2 linked regions of the Sus scrofa genome follow. The protein of the gene in region 2 interacts with the protein of the main gene of each other region in a biochemical or structural test. Links are inferred from orthologs where the notes say so. Each region holds a gene or a part of one and is shown on either strand. Other genes may lie near its edges.

The links.
Region 1: the proteins of RAB11FIP3 (region 2) and ARF5 form a complex in vitro, tested with the Homo sapiens proteins (2 studies listed by BioGRID). The link is inferred for Sus scrofa from reciprocal best matches to the Homo sapiens genes RAB11FIP3 and ARF5.

Annotation. Positions count from the first base shown.
Region 1 is NC_010460.4:20,692,296-20,701,972, forward strand, and holds ARF5 (ADP-ribosylation factor 5), read right to left. Parts: upstream 6,341-9,677; 5' UTR 6,285-6,340; coding exon 6,218-6,284; intron 5,690-6,217; coding exon 5,609-5,689; intron 5,306-5,608; coding exon 5,196-5,305; intron 4,475-5,195; coding exon 4,403-4,474; intron 3,899-4,402; coding exon 3,773-3,898; intron 3,671-3,772; coding exon 3,584-3,670; 3' UTR 3,411-3,583; downstream 1-3,410. Other genes in the region: FSCN3 (fascin-3), read right to left, coding at 1,013-1,156.
Region 2 is NC_010445.4:41,278,681-41,288,388, forward strand, and holds the start of RAB11FIP3 (rab11 family-interacting protein 3), read right to left. Parts: upstream 6,319-9,708; 5' UTR 6,304-6,318; coding exon 5,218-6,303; intron 1-5,217. UniProt on the Homo sapiens protein: Downstream effector molecule for Rab11 GTPase which is involved in endocytic trafficking, cytokinesis and intracellular ciliogenesis by participating in membrane delivery. Recruited by Rab11 to endosomes where it links Rab11 to dynein motor complex.

The sequences.
Region 1 (9,677 bases), on a different chromosome or scaffold from region 2:
GGGAGGGAGGAGAGGGGTATCAGTACTTCCAAGAGACTAGACGGAAGCGCCCTCCAACCATCACCCCCTGCATCATCCCAGTGCTTTCACTGAAAGCAGGCACCTTCCCTCCACATCAGCCTCCTTGCTGACCACTCTTCTACCCTCTAGTCCGGGGGAATCAAAAGATCTCATGGCACCTCCACCACTACAGCCACAGGGCTTCTCAAGAGCCCAAGGGGAGTTCTAGCTGCCCACCCATCCAGGTAACAGAAGGTAAAATGCCCTTTTCTCTTCCGTAAATATCTAACGTTCCAATCAATGCTTTGGTTTAAGTCTTACTTCGACCTTTCTCATGGTTGCCCCTGGACCGCACACTCAGCCAGCATGTCCATCCCCAAAGGCCACCTATCCAACATGGCAGGAGAAACACAAGACCTCTTTACAGGCAGGCTGGGGCTCCAGGGATGAAGATGGGAGCAGAGAAAGTGGAGATGCAGTTGCCTGTTTCAGTTGTCATCAACCCTGTTATAGGCAAGGGCCTTGCAACTGCCTCTCTCTGAAGCATCAGCCTAGAGGTGCCTACAACACTCTCTAAAGTGAAGGCTAATTCTCCCAGGGCTTCTAGAGTGCCCCATTTTCAAACTAGAACCAGAACCGTAACAAGGAACTTGCAGTAACTCCATGGGTCCAACTTCCCCTGGATGCCCACGATTCTGCCTTCCAGCCTGGGCTCTCTGCCTCTCCTTTAGGTGATAACACAACCACGCTGAGCTGGGATCGAGGCTAGGGAGCAGCCAGGGCAAGACGAGGCCACGAAGCCAGGCCTGAGGCTTTACCTCGTGGAATAGTTTTAAAGAGGAGGACATGGAGCAGCGCAGACCTGTGAGCAAAAGCCTGGCTTGCCCTGCCAATGGCAGAGGCTAGTCAAGAGATTAGGTTGCAAGTGCATCCCCACCACACACACACACACACACACACACACAGCCTGGCCACTGGGAAAAATGGTTCTAGCACAGGTGTGCTTCGTTACCTGTCTCCGGCCCAAACCCTTGGCAGTAGCAGTGACCGTGTTCTTATATGTCTCAAAAGTGAGGTAGGATCCTGCCCAGCTGATGAGCCCAACCCTTAGGTCCTCTGCCCTGGCTGGTCTTGGCGTCCACTCCGCCTCATCCATGCGGCCGGTGCCACAGGAGATGTCTCTGTCCGGCCCAGCCTTCCCCCCAGGGGTGAGGTTCCACAGGCCATAGGGCCTGGAATCAGGCCTTTGGTACCCACCAGAAGACGTTCCCAGAGGGAACTTCTCAGGCAGAGGCTGGCCTAGGGCCCAGCGCCTCTGTGACCCGGGAGCATTGTGACTGTGAGGGCTGCCGCTGATCCCACCACAGAGGGGAAGGGGCACTGGCCCAGCAGCATCGACCCACGCCCCAGAGGAGGTGGGCTTGGGCCTCTGGCATTAGCCTCCCCGCATCACTCCAGGCATCGAGGTAGCTGAGTTAAGACTGGAAATCAGAACTCCAGCCCCTGCCTGTGACTTCAGGCAAGTCCCTCCCCTTCTTCCTTCTGTTTCTCATTTTAATCCCAGGGTTGAAATCCGCCTCTTTCCTCCCTGGGGCTGTCAAGCAAGTGTTTGTTTTTTTAACTTTTTTTTTTTTTTTTTTTTTTTTTTTTGCCACATTATGCAGCAGAATCTCCTTTCCCAGAACAGGGACTGAACCCAGGGTGAAGCCATGAGAGGTCTGAATCCTAACCACTAGGCCACCAGGGAACTCTCCAGAGCTCAAGCGTTTTTAGAGTTCAAGATAGCCAGGAAAAATCTATTAACTTTTATGGCCCTTGTGAGGATAAGGCCGAAAATGTCTCAGAAGGTACCTTTCAGGGAGTGTGAGGAAACCCTAGATAACCCGCAAGGATCAGGTTACTCATTTAATCCACAGGGGCTGACTCTGGAGCAGGGTAAGGAGAACAGCGTAGGTGGGGGGCGCACAGAGCACCCTCCTCGTGGTCCCCAGTTGCACTACTGCTGGGCAGCCAGCCAGGGCTGCTGCTAAGGATACCAGCCCTTCCCCCTCCAGAGAGCCTCTGTTGGCCAACAGCCTCTAGGACTCACTGCCTACAAAGCTCATGAAGAAAAGCAGCCCAGAGCCTGGAGAAAGGCAAGAAGAAATACTGACGGTGATGGTGGGTTTTGTTTAAGCTTTGCTAGGATGCAAACTGAAAGGGGCAGAGCGAACTGCACTTGGCAAACAGCCCACACTGGGGTCCCCCACACACATTTTCCTACTCCCCATAGGTGGGGTCTCCCCAGGTAGAAAGAGCTCGAGTGGTGCACAGTGAGGGATCCCCAAAGCCTCACCAATGTTTTATAAAATAAGGCTTAGACTTCACGTGGCGGAAACATCTAAGATGCATTATTCTTGGACCTCTGACCAGTCCTGATGAATCGTATTTTCTGAAGTGTGCCTCAGGACTCTTATTATTATTTTTGGCCTCAGCCGTGGTATATGGAAGTTCCTGGGCCAGGGTTAGAATCTGAACCACAGCTGTGGCAATGCCAGATCCTTTACCCACCGCGCTGGGTCTGGGATAGAACCCGAGTAGTCAGAGAGACAACGCTGGATCCTTGACCCGCTGCGCCACAGCACAAACCCCATCAGGACCCTATAACCATTTCCTCCTCCTCAGATTTGATTATGCACAGACCTCACTAAGAGCCACTGCTCTAAGTCGCTGGGAGACAGATGGGAAACAGGAGTTTTGCGGTTTATGGGACCATGAAGGTAGAGCTTGTTAGCCTCAGCAAAGGCCACAGAGAATTGGGGAGGGAATGAGATTTCTTTCACTGGAGCCCCTAAACGACTTCCAGCCTCAAGAATAAGAAGGGAGATGGAGTTCTCCTGTGCTGTAGCAGGTTCAGGATCTGGGTTGTCACTGCAGCAGTTTGGGTCGCTGCTGTGCTTGGGTTCGATCTCTGGCCCAGGAACTTCCAGAGGCTGCGGGCGTGGCCAAAAAAACAAAAAAGAAAAAGGAGGGAGACGTGGAACTAGAGGAGGGCAGCGATGAGTGTGCACGTGTGTGTGTGTGTTTGGGGTAGGGCACGGGGGTTGGTCCTGCAGCCTTAGCAGCTTTGAGCCTCCCACTGATTGGCTCTTTGCAGCCAATAACCCAGGCCCCCACTTCTAGGTGACAGACAACACCATGTACAAACCACAGCAAATTTATTACTTGATATCCAGTGCCACGTCATAGCACCACCCGGAGCCCTCACTTTCCCCTCCCACCTGGCCCCAAGGGTACACTCGAAATGGAAAAAACAAAAGTCAACCCAGATCCCTGCTCCTCCTCTGGAAGAAGGGGCCTTGGCCCCCGAAGCCCCTTTCCGTGGGTCCCAGAAGGCAAGAGAGCAGACCCCTCCGTGCCCAGAGAGCGGGGGCTCCAGGCTCCAACAACAGAGAGAACATGCAGGCAGGAGCAGGCGCAGAGGCCTGTGTCTGCGGGGGAGGAGGAGCTGGGAGGGAAGGGCACTGCCTGAGGAGTCCGGGAGTCTGGTCGTCCCGGGGTGCACGCGGGAGCTTCCGGGCAGCAGGGGCTGGCCTGTGGTTGGCTAGCGCTTCGACAGCTCATGGGACAGCCAGTCCAGCCCATCGTACAAGCCTGTGCCTTGTGTGGCACAGGTGGCCTGGACGTACCACTGTGGGGAGAAGGAAAGAAACAGGTCAGAAGCAGGGAAGAAAGGCGATGCCTTTCCTTCCTGCCCAGCCTGGGGCTCCCCCGAGCAGACGCAGGTCCTCACCGTGCGGCTGCGCAAGTGCTGCAGCCCCAGCTTGTCGGTCAGCTCGCTCACGGGCATGGCGTTGGGCATGTCCTGCTTGTTGGCAAACACCAGCAGCACCGCATCGCGCAGCTCGTCTTCCTGCAACTGAGAGAAGGCAGAGGCGATGGCATCTGAGGGGGGTCTCTGGGGGCCCCCAGGCTCCCTTTTCCCAGCTGCATATGGGAATCCTGCTTTCTATCTTCTAGTCTATTTGCAGGGAAAACAGAACATTGTGTCATCTATGGCTGAACACAGGACACAAATTATAAATCAGCTTGGCCTTAGATCCAGAAAAGGCCTTTTTTGAGAGTACCCTTCCAGTTAAAAATGTCAAAGTCATCCACAGGGAAAAAAACAAGAACGTAAGATGATGCTTCTCTCCACCACCTACAATTCCCCTCCCTCTACCGGCTTCTCAGACTCAGAAGGGAAGACATGAGAGAATTCCAGGAAAAAGTCAAGTCTCACACTTTTTACCCGGGCCCAATTCAAAGTGGGGAGGCACTACTTCTTGGGAGTGTGTCCACAAAGCGGAACCCACATTCAAGGCCCGTGAGGCATTTCTATCTGTCACACCGGCACAGAAATGTGGGCGCTCTGAGTGCTCACCATCTTCTGGAGTTCATCGGCAGATTCCTGGACCCGCTCTCGGTCATTACTGTCCACCACGAAGATGAGGCCCTGGGTGGGAAGAAGAAAGGAAAGAGGAGCAATCACTCACGCCTGGGACATCCACACCCTAGTCTGGCTCCTCCTCTCTTCTGCCCTCTGACCCTGCTTTTAACTTTTTAGGGCCGCACCTGTGGCATATGGAGGTTCCCAGCCTAGGGGGCAAATCAGAGCTGCAGTTTCTAGCCTACGCCGCAGCCACAGCAACCTGGGATCTGAGCCGCACCTGCGACCTACACCACAGCTCACAGAAACGCCGGCTCCTTAACCCACAGAGTGAGGCCAGGGATGGAACCCGCAACCTCATGGATGCTAGGTGCAACCTCATGGATGCTAGTCGGGTTCGTTAACCACTGAGCTATGAAGGGAACTCCTCCATGTCCATCTTTAATGGTGTCTAAACCCTTCTCATCTAGTAAACTTACACAGTGGCTCTGGAGACGTCCTAGCACAAACTGGAGACACTCTGCTAGGATACGGCCTCTGCCCTCAGCCAAGGGGACCGGCTGAATGATGTGCACCGGGACAAGGAAAGACATGGGATGGGAGCGGAGTGAGGCAGCCTGGATTCAGAATTCTGCTTCTCAAGAGACTGAGGCCATTTCTGAAGAATAAGGAGAGGCTAGTCTACACAAGGGGGTAGAAGGGGGTAAGAGGTTTTTTTTGGCCTAGGCCAACACCTCCATCTTCCTACCCCTAACACCTCTTCCACTGGGGTTGGGGGAGCCCCAACCTGAGTGTTCTGGAAGTAGTGCCGCCACAGAGGCCGAATCTTGTCCTGGCCTCCCACGTCCCAGACTGTGAAACAGATGTTCTTGTATTCCACTGTTTCCACATTGAAGCCTGCAGATAATTGGAAAAAAATATGAGGAAAAAGTCCTGAAAGGGAGGAACTCACCAAAACGATGTGGTTTCAGCAGGGACCCCAAGCCAGAAGGCACCGAGGGGCGGGGCTCGGTCACATCCATCCCGCCTGGGCACCATCCTGCATGAAAAGATACCGTGACCCACTTCTCAGGTAGCAGCATCTGATGTCACGGTCAGCTCTCTGGGGCCGAGATAAGGGCCTCGGCAGAATGCGGAGCAGATCCTGAGGAGGCCCTCCCGCCGCGCTCCCGCTCCTCCCCACCGCGCCTCCGGACTCACCTATGGTGGGGATGGTGGTGACAATCTCCCCCAACTTCAGTTTGTACAGGATTGTGGTCTTGCCAGCTGCATCCAAGCCAACTGCAAAGGAGAAGGGCACCGGGATGGAGATGGGAGCAAGGGAGCCCCCTAGAGCCCAGGGAAGGGGACGGGCCAGGACAGCTGATGGTGACGGGGGCGGAGAGCCGAGCACCTCCAGGTGCGCGCTGTTCTCTACCTTCGCGGCCTTGAGCGCAGTCTGGGGGGTGGGCGCCAAGTCCAGCCCTCAGAGCGCGCGAGGGGCGGTAGAAGACTGAGGGGTAAGAGGTGCCAGAGGAGGGTCGTGCTCCTTTTAAAAGTCGTCTCCAAGGACGGAATCCTCCCTTCTTACCAGCCGGGCTGGGGCGGAGGAGGGAGCTTCACTCCACCCAGGCCCGCAGCTCCCGGTCCCAGGCCCCAGGAGCGCTGCTGCAGATCCCGACCCACCCGAGAGTAGTGGTCCCGGGGAGTTAGGCCGGGGGTGACTCGGGGTCAGAGACCCGGGTGAGCAGGGCTGGAGGGACGCGGGGGCAGGAGAGCTGCGTGGGGGCCGGCGCTCCCCGTCCAGGCCGAGCGCTTTATCTGCCTCACCCATGAGGATCCGCATCTGCTTCTTCCCGAAGATCCGCGAAAAGAGCGCGGACACCGTGAGGCCCATGGCGGGGCCTGGGGGAGGGGGCGCGGGGACGGACGCGGGGTGCGGGCTGGAACTGGCCGGCCGCTGGGGGATGGGCGCAGCAGCAGGAGGAGGAGGTGCCGCCGCCGCCTCCGCGCGTCCCGGCCCGCCCTACGTCACCTCGGGCCCGCCCCCGCCATGGCCCCGCCCCCAACACAGCCCTCAGCCCCGCCCCCGCCCCGCCTCCAGGCCCTGGCCCTGGGAGACCCTGAAGCTGACCGTCTTGCGAGCCTCTGGTTCGGCGCTGGCTTTAGAGATGGAAAAGGTCTGGGCCTTCCCCCTGTTTCTGGCGTGCCTGTAAGATCTGTGGCTGCTGAATCCGCAACCCGGGCAGGATCAAGGAAAGCCTCCAAAGCTCCATAACGGCCCTCCATCCCCATCCTCACTGGCTGACCGCTGGGCTTTGGTTTGGTCCGTCCAATCCACTCTAGGCTCCGATTTAGCTCTTGGTAATGAGTGCCTCGACTTTGTGCACCCTCCCTCTCCCAACCCCCCCCCCCCCACGCCCCGAAGCGGCAGTTCCGCGCAGGTGTCTTAGTCCTTCCTTTTGTCTTCTCAGTTCCCAGTCAGGGACTTTGAACGTGGCAGGTGCTTCAGTGACCTTAGAATCTCTAGAGGAATGCGCCAGAGGTGAAAGAAGATGCCCTTCATGGTTTCTTAAAACGCCTGCAGCAGAACCAGTGGAGGATCTCCAGTTCTAGGCGGTGGGGTAGTAGATACTACTCCTGCATACTGGAGAATTCTGCCTTGCCTCGATGGCCCTGGAAACAATGCCTTTCAATCGAACCAGGCAACCTTTCTGAAGCTCCTTCCTCAGTTTGAAAAGCGGAACCTGGATTTATTATTTTTTTTGGGGGGGGGTCTTTTTAGGGCCGCACCGGCGGCATGGAAGTCGAATCAAAGCTACAGCTGCAGGCCCATGCCACAGCCACAGCAACGCCAGATGGAGCTCTGTCTTCGACCTGTACCACAGCTCACAGCAACGTCGGATCCCGAGCGAGGCCAGGGATCCAACCTGCGTCCTCATGGATGCTAGTCAGATTCGTTTCTGTTGAGCCACGAAGGGAACTCCAACCTGCACCTTTAATGCATAGCTAGCTAGCATTTTGTAAGGCTGAAGAGCTTCATGAGCTATTTTCCCACTCACCTTAGCATCTGAGGGGAAATAGCAAGATAGGAATTAATTTAAATTTCTTTTATGGTGGAGACTGGGTCACCTAATATATGCTTAACAAATGCTGGCTGGATTGAATGGACTAACTGATTGCTCAGTGGAGCATGGACAGGTGTTTTTGCCTGTTCTGGATTCCCTTTGGGCTTCTAGAATCAATCCCTATGGACTGGACATGGTGAGGTGAGCTGGGAATCAGAGAACGTTCCTTCCTTCCTTCACTCATTAAACAAATATTTATTGAGTGCCATTGTTCCATGCCTCAGTTTGAATCTCAGTTCTGCATTTTTTTTTTTTGAGGGCTTAAATTCAACAATACTCACAACCTGTCATTTTCTCATCTATAAAAGGAGACTATCTGTCCCAAGTTACAGTGAAGAATGAGATGATAAGATAATGTACCTGAATTTTTGTTTGATGCAGCTGGATATTATCTGGGCCACCAAGAAACTGGGTCTGACCAGATTTCTAGTATCGGGCCCATCCTGACCCTCAGTCTGTAAAGAGAACAGATGTTAGGCACCAGGAATGAGTGAGTACCTGACTCTTTTTTACTCTGCATTCCTAAGAAGGCTTTTACAAGGTTGAAGAGCACATTTCAAAGAATCCAAATATAACAACACAGCTACTGGTGACCAAGTCAGATCAGTTCTACATCTTTAGCTCTTTTAATTAGCCTCTTTCATCCTTGTTGTCACTGCTCTATTTCACTACCATCTTATCCCCATGACTGAAAATAGCCTTCTATACCTCGGTTTCTCCACCTTGTCATACAAGATTTGATGATGCCACTCTTGTGATGAAAATCCTTTAGTGTCTTATTACCCAAGATAAAATCCAAATGCCTTAATTTGGGTCCTCATCTACTCTGCCAGCCCCATCTGTTGCCACCTCCTTCACAAAACCTAAGCTACTGCCTTGAAATGCTTCCCAGTGCTTCCCCGGGAGGACCCAGGCTCTCTGATGCCCTAGGAGTCCTTGTACGTTTTCCTCTCTGCCTGGAATGCTTCCCTCCTCTCCGGTTAGATGGGCAATCAGTATTCATCATTCAAATCTCAAAATAGTTCCCCTGAGAGGCTTGTCTCCTCTAAACAGGCCTCGCTCCTCTTAACTTCCATACCCCTTTGCATATAATTGTGTTTGCACATCTGGTTTCTCTCTAGATATGGGTTCCCTGAGGGCAAGACCTTCTCTCTCTCTCTTTTTTAAAATATATAATGATTTTTATTTCTTTTTCATTATAGCTGGTTTACAGTGTTCAAGACCTTATCTCTTCAAGGTGATCATCTAGCACAGCATTTGATATGTGGCGAGTGGGACTGATCTTGATAGGATTCTAAACTTACTGGCTGTGTGTGACTTTGGGAGTGTCACTTAACCTCTCTGTGCTTCAAGTTTCTCTATAAAATAGTGCTAATAATACCCATTCAGCAGAATTACTATAAAGACTAAACAGCAAAATTCCTGTGATCTTCCTGCAATATATTTGGCACTTAGGATGGACAGCGTGGCTATATATATTTCTCTCTGTTGAATAACCTCAGAACTCAGGAAGGATGCTAATAATTATTATACTGTACGCCTACTGGGTTCCAAATACTGTCCTCGAAAGGGTTGCCATTTTCATGGTCTAAATGGGAGTCTTAACTGTTGCTCTTTAGGGGCAAAAGTATTGAGCCCCCAAACATCGTCGTTTACCCGGGTTTTTGGTAAGGACGCGGTGCGACGTCGTCCTGGTCCCTCGCTAGGGCAAAATCAGGCGCCCTCACCAAACCAACATCACTCCTGGGTACCCGATTTTACTTGCTCTGCTCTAGCCAGGAGCAAACAGCTGGAGGCCCAGCTGAACGGCCTCCAGACCGCCGGCTGAACTAACCCCGCCCACCTCGCGCTCACTGGGGGCGGGGTCTGATGCGTCACGCTGTCGTCACTTCCAGCCGGACCCGGAAGCGCTGTTGACTCGTGGCTAGAGTTAGGAAGTCGGGATGCGGCTAAGCTCAGCTTAAACCGTCGGCTCCTGGTGCCGGCGGGGCACGGAGCGGCTCTGGAACAGTGGGGCCGAGCCCTGGCAGTGTGTTCCTCTGGTGAGCTTTGGCAGTCTGTTCCTCTAGGATAGGACCAGCCCCCACCCTCTTGTCAGGGATCTGGCGGACGCTTCTGCCTGGCTGCCCCGCCGCGCCCCACATTCGGTGTCGAACAGCTGT
Region 2 (9,708 bases):
AATGCTGTTGAACAACAGTGGGAACTCCAGAAGTATTTTTTAAGACGCCAACCAAACTGCCTGTGATGCAAGCCCGGGAAGGAACATTATCTGCCTGTGAGCAATTCCCCCGACACAGATCCAGACACACACATCCTACCAGCTCCCACGTGCACCTGCTCAGGCACACACACGCATTCCCTCTTTCACACGCACACACACACACACAAATCCTGGGCCAGGACAGAAACTGCAAAGGGCACTGAAGGAAAGGGGGCAGCCAAGCGCCTCTGAGGAGTTCCCAGTGCCCCCAGCAGAGGAATGAAAAGCGGGAGACCGTCTGGGCACCGCACGGCCTCACACAAGTCCCACGGCGGACAGACACGACCCACAAGGTTGCTGAAGGGCAGTCACTGCTCTGACATGCAGGGTTCTCCGCAAAGGACCGGGGATGTTACAATGGAAATGCCTGAGAGAGTGTTACCATGACATGTGACAATAACCTTTAAAATTACAATGAACTCCCTTGGAAAATAACACCCAAAGAAACCAATCCTTTCGCACGATCACTCTTGTGATTTATTTACAGCTTCTGCTCTATGAAAAGTTGGTGCAGACTACAGAAACACCAGTCCTCTCAGGAGGCAGGGGTCGAGTCCATGAGCAAACTTCAAAGCAAGTCGAGGACTTAAAGACAACCCATTCCAGAAGGTCCCTGGTGTCTACCGGTGATGAAATGGAGCTTTCGCCAGCGCAGCCCAGTTCCCCCTGGCTTGGGAACTGAGACCCCACATCAAGCTGCACACCACCCACCAAAAAAGGAAAAAAAAAAAGGATAACCTATCCCCGCCTCACAGCCAACGAGTGCCTGGACACATCCAACTGCACACTCCTGTTCAAGAAAATACGACTAGAAAGCTCCACCGTCGCCCCCTTTCTCCTTTCAGTGTCTGCCAACTCTGTTACACTAAACCACACCTGCTCTGTCTCCAGAAGAGGCAACGGGAGCCAGACACCCCACGACGCTGCTGAAGAAAGACGGACCCCACAGCCATCTGGATCACGAATGGCAACTGCCCGGGTTAAAGATCCAGGCCATCCATTTTAAGACGTTAAAACACTTCCTTCGTAAACAGATGACACAAAAGACACTGAAAACGTGCCGGTCATCAGGGCACTCCGGCTGTTTCCATCAAGACAGGAGCATGCCCAGGCTACCACTTTCATGCACTCGGAAGTTTGAAATCTCAAGGTGGAAAGTGCAAAAACTTACGGTTCTGATTGCTGTTGTGCAGCTTAGCCAAACTGTTCCTAGGGCTTAAAAGAAATCATGGTCGTTCCCGTCGTGGCGCAGTGGTTAATGAATCCGACTGGGAACCATGAGGTTGCGGGTTCGGTCCCTGCCCTTGCTCAGTGGGTTAACGATCCGGCGTTGCCGTGAGCTGTGGTGTAAGTTGCAGGCGCGGCTTGGATCCCAAGTTGCTGTGGCTCTGGCGTAGGCCGGTGGCTGCAGCTCCGATGTGACCCCTAGCCTGGGAACCTCCATATGCCGCGGGAGCGGCCCAAGAAATAGCTGAAGAGACAAAAAAAAAAGAAACCATGAATGTTTAAAAGCAAATTCTTATCTTTGGAGATACACACTGAAATATTTATGGGCAAAATGATATGGCAGGTACGTGCTTCAAAAGCAATCTGGCGGGTGAGCAGTGAGATGCTGTGTACTGCACTGGGAACTGTATCTAGTCACTGATGACGGAGCAGGATAAGGTGAGAAAAAGAAGGTACACATGGACGTGTGACCGGGTCATTTTGCCGTACAGCAGAAAACTGACAGAGCACTGTAAGCAAACTATAGTGGAAAAATAAAAATCATTTAAAAAAAAAAAAAAGCAACCTGGGGATGAGGGGTAGGACGTTACAAATGAACCAAGACTGTGCACGCTGAGTGATGACTTGGGGGCGGGTAGCAGACTCCTCTCTACTCTCATATATGGGCAAAACATTTTTTTTTAATTGAAAATATTTATGATGAGGTGGAATTCCTCATTTTTCTCTAAACTACTTCACTATCCAAAAATATTTCTTCTCAGAGAGCCCTGGTGGTGCAGTGGGTTAAGGATCCAGCACTGTCACTGCTGTGGCTCGGGTCCCTGGGTTAAAGATCCGGCATGGCGATGGCTGGGGTGAGGCCTCAACTACAGCTCCGATTCCACCTAGCCTGGGAAGCTCCATATGCCACGGGGTGGCCCTAAAAAGACCAAAAGAGAAAAAAAATCTTCTCTTTGCTCCTCTATAATGTATTCTGACCCCGGACTCGAAAGAGCAAGACGGAGTCATAACAAAGACTATCAGAGCTCACCCAGACACACAAACCAGCCTTCCAATAACCCTGCTAATTATCTGCTCCAAACAAAAGCGCTCCTCCACCGTCCCAGGAAGCCTGTCCAAGCCCAGGGCTCAGGACTTCCCGATGTGGCGCAACATGACTGGCAGCATTTCTGGAGTGCTAGGACACAGGTTCGATCCCAGGCCCAGCACAGTGGGTTAAGGATCTGGCATTACCGCAACTGCAGCTGGGATCGGATCCCTGGCCAGGAACTCCATATGCCGAGGGGCAGCCAAAAACGGAAAAAAAGCACCACCCCCGCCACCCCCGCCCCCACCCCCACCACGTGCGGTACTCAGATCATGCCCCACATGCTTCTTCCTGAGCAGTCTGGGAGAGCAGAGAGGAGGGCAGTGCCCGCCCGGCCTCCCTTGCTTGCCCACCCCCCAAATCCTTAGTCATCCCAGCCTCACCCCCAAACCGAAAATGCCACCAGGAGCTACCAGAACAAAGAATGTTGACTCATTTCTACTTTGTATTTACAAAAGCCTCAGCCCCAAATGGCAACCCAAAGGTTTTCCCACCGGGACCAATACCAATGTGAACATTGCAACAAGAGGTGGCTGGTTCTCAAGTGAGCAGGACCGTGTGGGAGTGAAGGCGATGCATCTTCGTGTTAAGGCTTAGGGCCACCCAACCTAAGAAGCTGGAGAGCCACCTAAACATTCGGAGCCAGAGGACTGTCCAGCACTGACGGTCTGGAAGGTCTTGGAAAGTTACTTCACCTCTCCGGCCTCCAGACTCTTCCCTGTAAAGTGGGATGATTCCCGTCTGCCTACAACCAGCTCAGAGAAAGGGGGATGATCCAGTGAAAATAGAAACAAACAGGTAGAGCCTCCATCAGAGGCAGAGCACGGCAGGGAAGAACAGATGTGTCTCTCCCTTAACATCCTTGACTGGTGGAACGAGGAAGGGTGTGTTTGGGGCGAAGACACGGGGCACTACCACCACCCCAGTAGAAAACAACCGAGGACCCCCAAGCGCCCCCGGCCCAGGGGCAAGGAGGAAAGGCATCAAAACACTGGACCAGGGAGTTCCCAGGGTCGTGGCGCAGCGGAATGCATCCGACTAGGAACCACGAGGTTGCCGGTTCGATCCCTGGCCTCACTCAGCGGGTGAAGGATCCGGCATTGCCGTGAGCCGTGGTGTAGGTCGCAGACGCGGCTCGGAGCCCGTGTTGCTGTGGCTGTGGTGGAGGCCAGTGGCTACAGCTCCGATTCGACCCCTAGCCTGGGAACCTCCAGGCAGGTGCAGCCCTAAAAGGACAAAAAAACAAAAAACAAACAAAAGCACCTGGAGCAGCCATCTCGGTCCAAGCTAAGCACACAGGATATTATCAGTTGTGTATCTCTCCGTCCGTCAGACTAAGAGATGGGAAACCCAATCTCAAGCAAGATCTTCCAACCCAGAGCTAAAGCAGGGCGTCCCACAGACCCAACGCCGACATGCAGGCCCACTGCCACATGCACATCTTCCCAGGCCGGGACCTCAACAAGGAACCTGAGCTCAGGCAAGCCGGTTCTGCACCCAACAGCTCAATGGACACTGTCAACACTCACGGGCACCCGGATCCCTTGTACAGGCTCTTAACGTGATGACGGATGCTCTGAAAAGCAGGGTGTCAATGATGCCTCTTAAAGACCTCTGGGCTTAAACATGTATCCACGCTTGAACAGCCACTTTACGAATGTCCGCAAGTGTGAGAAGTCAGCAACACACAAAAACTAGCAGATCAGCATTTTAGGAATTTCCTATTCCTAAGTCAAAAATTTACAAGTAGGAGTTCCTGTCGTGGCTCAGTGGAAACAAATCTGACTAGCATCCATGAGGACACAGGTTCGATCCCTGGCCTTGCTCAGTGGGTTAAGGATCCGGCGTTGCTGCGAGCCGCGGTGTAGGTTGCACATGTGGCTCGGATCTGATGTGGCTGTGGCTGGCAGCTGCAGCTCTGATGTGACCCCTAACCTGGGAACCTCCATATGCTGCCGGTGTGGCCCTAAAAAAAATAATAATAATAAAGGCAAAAATAAAAAAAATTACAAGTGAACGTCGGTAATCAATTTGCATGTATTTGGGTTAATACCAGAACACACACAGCCCTGCTGCTGTCTCCACCTAAACTTTCCTAAGCGCTGGGAGGGAGGGACTGGAGGGTGAGGGCCACCTCCTCCTAGCGCAGCCACAGCCCCGGGGGGCTGGGCAGGACCCCCTGCCCCACTGCACTGTGCCTTCCCAACACCTGCCCCACAGGCGAGGAGGTGGCCCTGAGGCAGTTCTGCTCAGGCTTCCTCAAGTCTGCATGCACCATGGTGCTCCGAGGCTCATTCCCCTCCCTCTGGGCTTCCTCTCTTTCCCTTCTGCACAGAAGGAACAGCAGTGAAATTTTTTGGCATTCGGCGTCTCCCAAACAACGAGTCTATGGAGAACATATGCCAACCACACACAGTAAAGTAACTGCGCTCAAAATAGACGTCTGGAACATGATCCCTAAGCGTCCAGGTGCCCCGTGGCAGACCCAAGGAGCGAATTACTTCAGCCCGACCAGACCTGGGCCCTCCGCTGGGGGAACGGCGGGCACGTCTGCGGAGGGCACTTCCATCGGGCAGCCTGGGGGCATGTCCCCAGGCCAGGCGCTCCCCTCGACTTAGGAAAATATCCAGCTTGTGTGGCCTGAGACGTCAGGGAAGACACTAAATCCCGGAATTAGAACCTCTCTCAAGGGGAAAGAGGCGCTTCGGCGAAATTCGACCAGAGGTGAGGGCAGAAGTCAAGCACGAGAGGACGCGGACCCCGGCCTTAAGTGCCCTCCGCGACCCCCGCGCACGGAGCCCGGCTCCCACGCTGCGAGTTACCTGCTCTGCCCCGTAGACGGTGGCGAACTGGACGAAGTCCGCGATGCGGACGAAGCCGTCTCCATCCCCGTCCAGGGCTTCGAACACGGCTCGGAGCCGGGGGGCGTCCTCCGGACACCCCGCGGGCTCGCTCGTTAAGGGGCGGGTCTGGCTGAAGTCCGAGGGCCGGTCCGGGTCCCCGGGACCCAGCTCCAGCGCCGGCTCGCCGACCTCGGGCGAGGGGAAGGGGGGGAAGAAGTCGACCTCGCCCCGCAGGTGGTGGCTGCGGCTGAAATCCTGCGCGCGGGCTGTCGCGCTGTGCGGGCAGCTTGGGGGGCCGTCACCCTCCGGCTCAGCGGTCCAGGAATAAAGCGGGCCTAGTTCCGACAGCGGCGGGTCGGGGTCGGGGTCGGGGTCGGGATCGGAGTCGGGGTCCGGGTCTGGGGCCCGGCCAAGGCGCTGAGGCCTCCGCTCCGGCCCCGGGCCCCGTCCGGCCTCCGGGCCGGCTTCGGGGTCTTGCGGGCCGAGCCCCAGGTGGAGGGCGGGAGCGGAGGGCGCGCCGGGCCCGCCGGGGTCTGGGTCGGGGCCCGGGCCGCCCGAGGGGGAGGCCGGCCGGCCCGGCTCCATCTTCATGGGCGCGCCCCCGGCCGCGGCGCAGGCCCGCGAGGCCAGTGGAACGGCGGGCGGCGCGGGCGGCAGACAAAGGCGCTCAGGGCGCGGCGGCGGGCGCGGGCATCCCCGCGGCGACGCGGGCGGGCGCGCGCGGGGCGCCCGGGCTGCTCGGGCTGGCGCTCGGGCCCTGCTCCGCCCTCGCCCATCTTCGCGCCGCGCCTCAGCTGTCCTCGGCCCTGCGGCGCGGCGGGCGCGGGCCCATGGCGGCGGCGGCGGCGGCGGCGGGTGGCACAAGGAAGCCGAGGGTGAGGACGAGGAGGGGAGGCTAAGGAGCGGGTCGCCGAGGAGGGGGATCTGGAGAATCAGGACCCTAAACAGGAGGACGGCGCGCAGGAGGACGCTGAGGGGAACACGGTTGAGGAGGACGAGGAGGTGTCCGCGGTACCCGAGCTCACGCCGCCGCCCTCGCCCCGCCCTCTGTCGGCCTGACGTCATCACGTCGCGCCGCCATCTGGCTCCGCCCCTCGCCGGGCTGCTATAAAGGCAGGCAGCCGCGCTGCGAAGCTGTGGGGCTGTATGTGGGTCTCCCTTCCTCTGCGGCACCGGGAGGCTGGGTGTAAAGGGGGCGAATGCGCTGGAAGGCAGCAACCCCGGGCGTGACGTCATGCACCCCCACACGCAACGCGGATGACTGCGTCTTGCCTGCATAAAGAGCTCCCTCAAATTGATAAGCAACGGATGCGATCCAACCGGGCGAGCGAAGTGCGCGTGACATCCTCCTCCCGCAACCGTGGCTCGCAGTCCCGGCCTGAGTGTGGAAGGGCCCTGAACATGCGGTCCCTCACTTGTGACCCAAGGAACGGGTGGCCCAACGCAGAGGCCTTTTTTAAAAATCTCGGACAGGAGTTCCCGTCGTGGCGCAGTGGTTAACGCATCCGACTAGAAACCATGAGGTTGCGGGTTCGGTCCCTGCCCTCGATCAGCGGGTTAAGGATCCGGTGTCAAGGTTGCAGACGCGGCTCGGATCCCGCGTTGCTGTGGCTGTGGCGTAGGCCGGCGGCTACAGCTCCGATTCGACCCCTAGTCTGGGAACCTCCATATGCTGCAGCTCCAATTAGACCCCTAGTCTGGGAACCTCCATATGCCACGGGTGCAACTGTAAAAAGAGAAAAAAAATTCACAGAATTGTATCACCAGAGAATGAATTTCACTGCGTGTAAATTATACCTTAGTAAAAAAATAATTTTTTAAAAAAATTATCCCTGTGTTTTCTTTTTCTTGTTTTCCTTATGTCCTCTGCCTTCCTCATGTCTTTAGAAAACACTAGCCCCCTAGGCCTTCCCCGAGTTCCAAAGAGTAAATTTAATTAGAAAAGTGAAAAAAAAATGTAGAAAGAAAGGAAAAGAGTCAAGCAGCAGACAGACAGAACAGTCAAGGAGCCTTAGTTAGCTCCTCCTCAAGGGGGCTATAGATCACTTTTTTTTTTTAGGGCCACACCTACAAACCCACGTCCTCATGGACAGTAGTCGGGTTCAATACCCCTAAGCCACAAGGGGAACTCCGATAGATCATCTTCCGAGCTGTTTTTTTGGGTTTTTTTTTTTTTTTGTCCTTTTGCCTTTTCTACAGCCTTACCCTGAATCATATGGAGGTTCTCGGGCTAGGGGTCTAATTGGAGCTGCAGGCCAAGCCTACACCAGAACCACAGCAACTCAGGATGCAACCCACACCACAGCTCACAGCAACGCCGGATCCTTAACCCACTGAGCAAGGCCAGGGATCGAACCCGAAACCTCGTGGATTCTTCGTCGGATTCGTTAACCACTGAGCCATGACAGGAACTCCCTTCAGACCTGTTTTGCAGAGGCTGAAACCCCACCAGGTGAAGAAGTTAAGTATATGGAGCCCACCAGCTCCTAGTCCCCAGACCAGCTGGAACGGAAGCCTGAGGATGCTGACTTGATTTCATCACCACCAGTCAATCATCAGAATATCCTCGAGCTGATCACGTGCCCCCTCCCTCACCCTGCCTTTAAAAGCCTTTTCCTGGAGTTCCCGTCGTGGCGCAGTGGTTAACGAATCCGACTAGGAACCATGAGGTTGCGGGTTCGGTCCCTGCCCTTGCTCAGTGGGTTAAGGATCCGGCATTGCCGTGAGCTGTGGTGTCGGTTGCAGACGCGGCTCGGATCCCAAGTTGCTGTGGCTCTGGCGTAGGCCGGTGGCTACAGCTCCGATTCAACCCCTAGCCTGGGAACCTCCATATGCCGCAGGGGCGGCCCAAGAAATAGCAAAAAAAAGAAGACAAAAAAAAAAAAAGCCTTTTCCTGAAAGCCTTTGGGAGGCTTGGGTCTTTGAGCCCCAGCCACCTGGACTCCTGGCTTGGCGCCTGCAGTAAACACTGCCCTTTCCTTCCTCACGACCTGGAGTCAGTCAAGTGGATTTGCTGCAGGCGTGCGGGCAGACCCAGGATTGGTTGGGTGACATCGCACTGGGGGGAGTTAGGGCTTCAACATATCAATTTGAGGGGACGTGACTCAGCCCATAGCAACTGGAAAGAGATATTTGAAACAGATGTAGCTGATAATGCATGTATTTCCACAATACACAAGAATTCTCCAAAGAACAGTGAAAGCACATCATGCGGTAGAAAAATGAGCAATAAACATGAATAAGCAGTTCCACAGGCAGAGACTCAATTGGCCAATAAACACGTTAAAAAGATGCTTAAGCCCACTGGTAGCCAAGGGAATGACCAAGGCTCGCATTGGACATCAAGTGGTAAAAATTTAAGCCAATACCACCAAGCATTCACAGGAATGATTCACCTGGAGGGCCGTGTCCCCCTCATTCTTACTGGGCACTTCTTTGTTGTCGTTTTTAGGGCCACATCTGCAGCATACGGAGGTTCCCTGGCTAGGGGTCTAATCGGAGCTACAGCTGCCGGCCTACACCGCAGCCACAGCCACGCAGGATCTGAGGCGTGTCTGCGACCTACACCACAGCTCATGGTAGTGCCGGATCCTGAACCCACTGAGCTAGGCCAGGGATCGAACCTGCATCCTCGTGGACCCTCGTCAGGTCCATTAACTGCTGAGCCACAACAGGAACTCCATTACCCGGCATTTCTGCTTCTCCACCATCAAATCCACTCGGAGGCAGGAAAGGGATGTTGGAGGCGGCATTGGTTTTCCTAGTTCCATGAAGAGGCTGCTGCGTGGGACATTATGAGCAGACTCAGCGGATGAACCGACATGGTGCCCATTTGCGTGGGCTGATGGCGACAAGCTGCGTGGCAAAGCGAGCTCCGGAACGGAGACCGTGTAATGCCGTCTTAGCAAAGTTTACAAACACTGCATCAGAGTTCCCCAGTGGAACAGCGGGTCAAGGATCCGGCCTTGTCACTGCTGGTCTGGCACGGGTTCGATCCCCAGCCCGGGAGCGTCTGCATGCCGCTGGCAGAGCCAAATGAATAAATAAACGAACCATCGATACAGGTATGGTTTTTAAACATCTTCATTTGCAGTAAAAAATACGAAAACAAGAGTGGGAAGGGGGAGGAGGCGACAGAGGAGGAAAGTGGTGAAAGGGAGCAGGACCTGAGCATTTACTTCCTTAAAAGACAGATGGACTGGGGACAGACAGGACAAAATACCTACACCTGGTAAACCTGGCTGGTGAGAACGTGGGTACGGTTCTTCAGAAAGTTTAAGAATTTCGGGAGTTCCCATCATGGCGCAGTGGTTAACGAATCCGACTAAGAACCACGAGGTTGCGGGTTCGGTCAGTGCCCTTGCTCAGTGGGTTAAGGATCCGGCATTGCCGTGACCTGTTGTGTAGGTTGCAGACACAGTTCAGATCCTGAGTTGCTGTGGCTCTGGTGTAGGCTGGCCGCTACAGCTC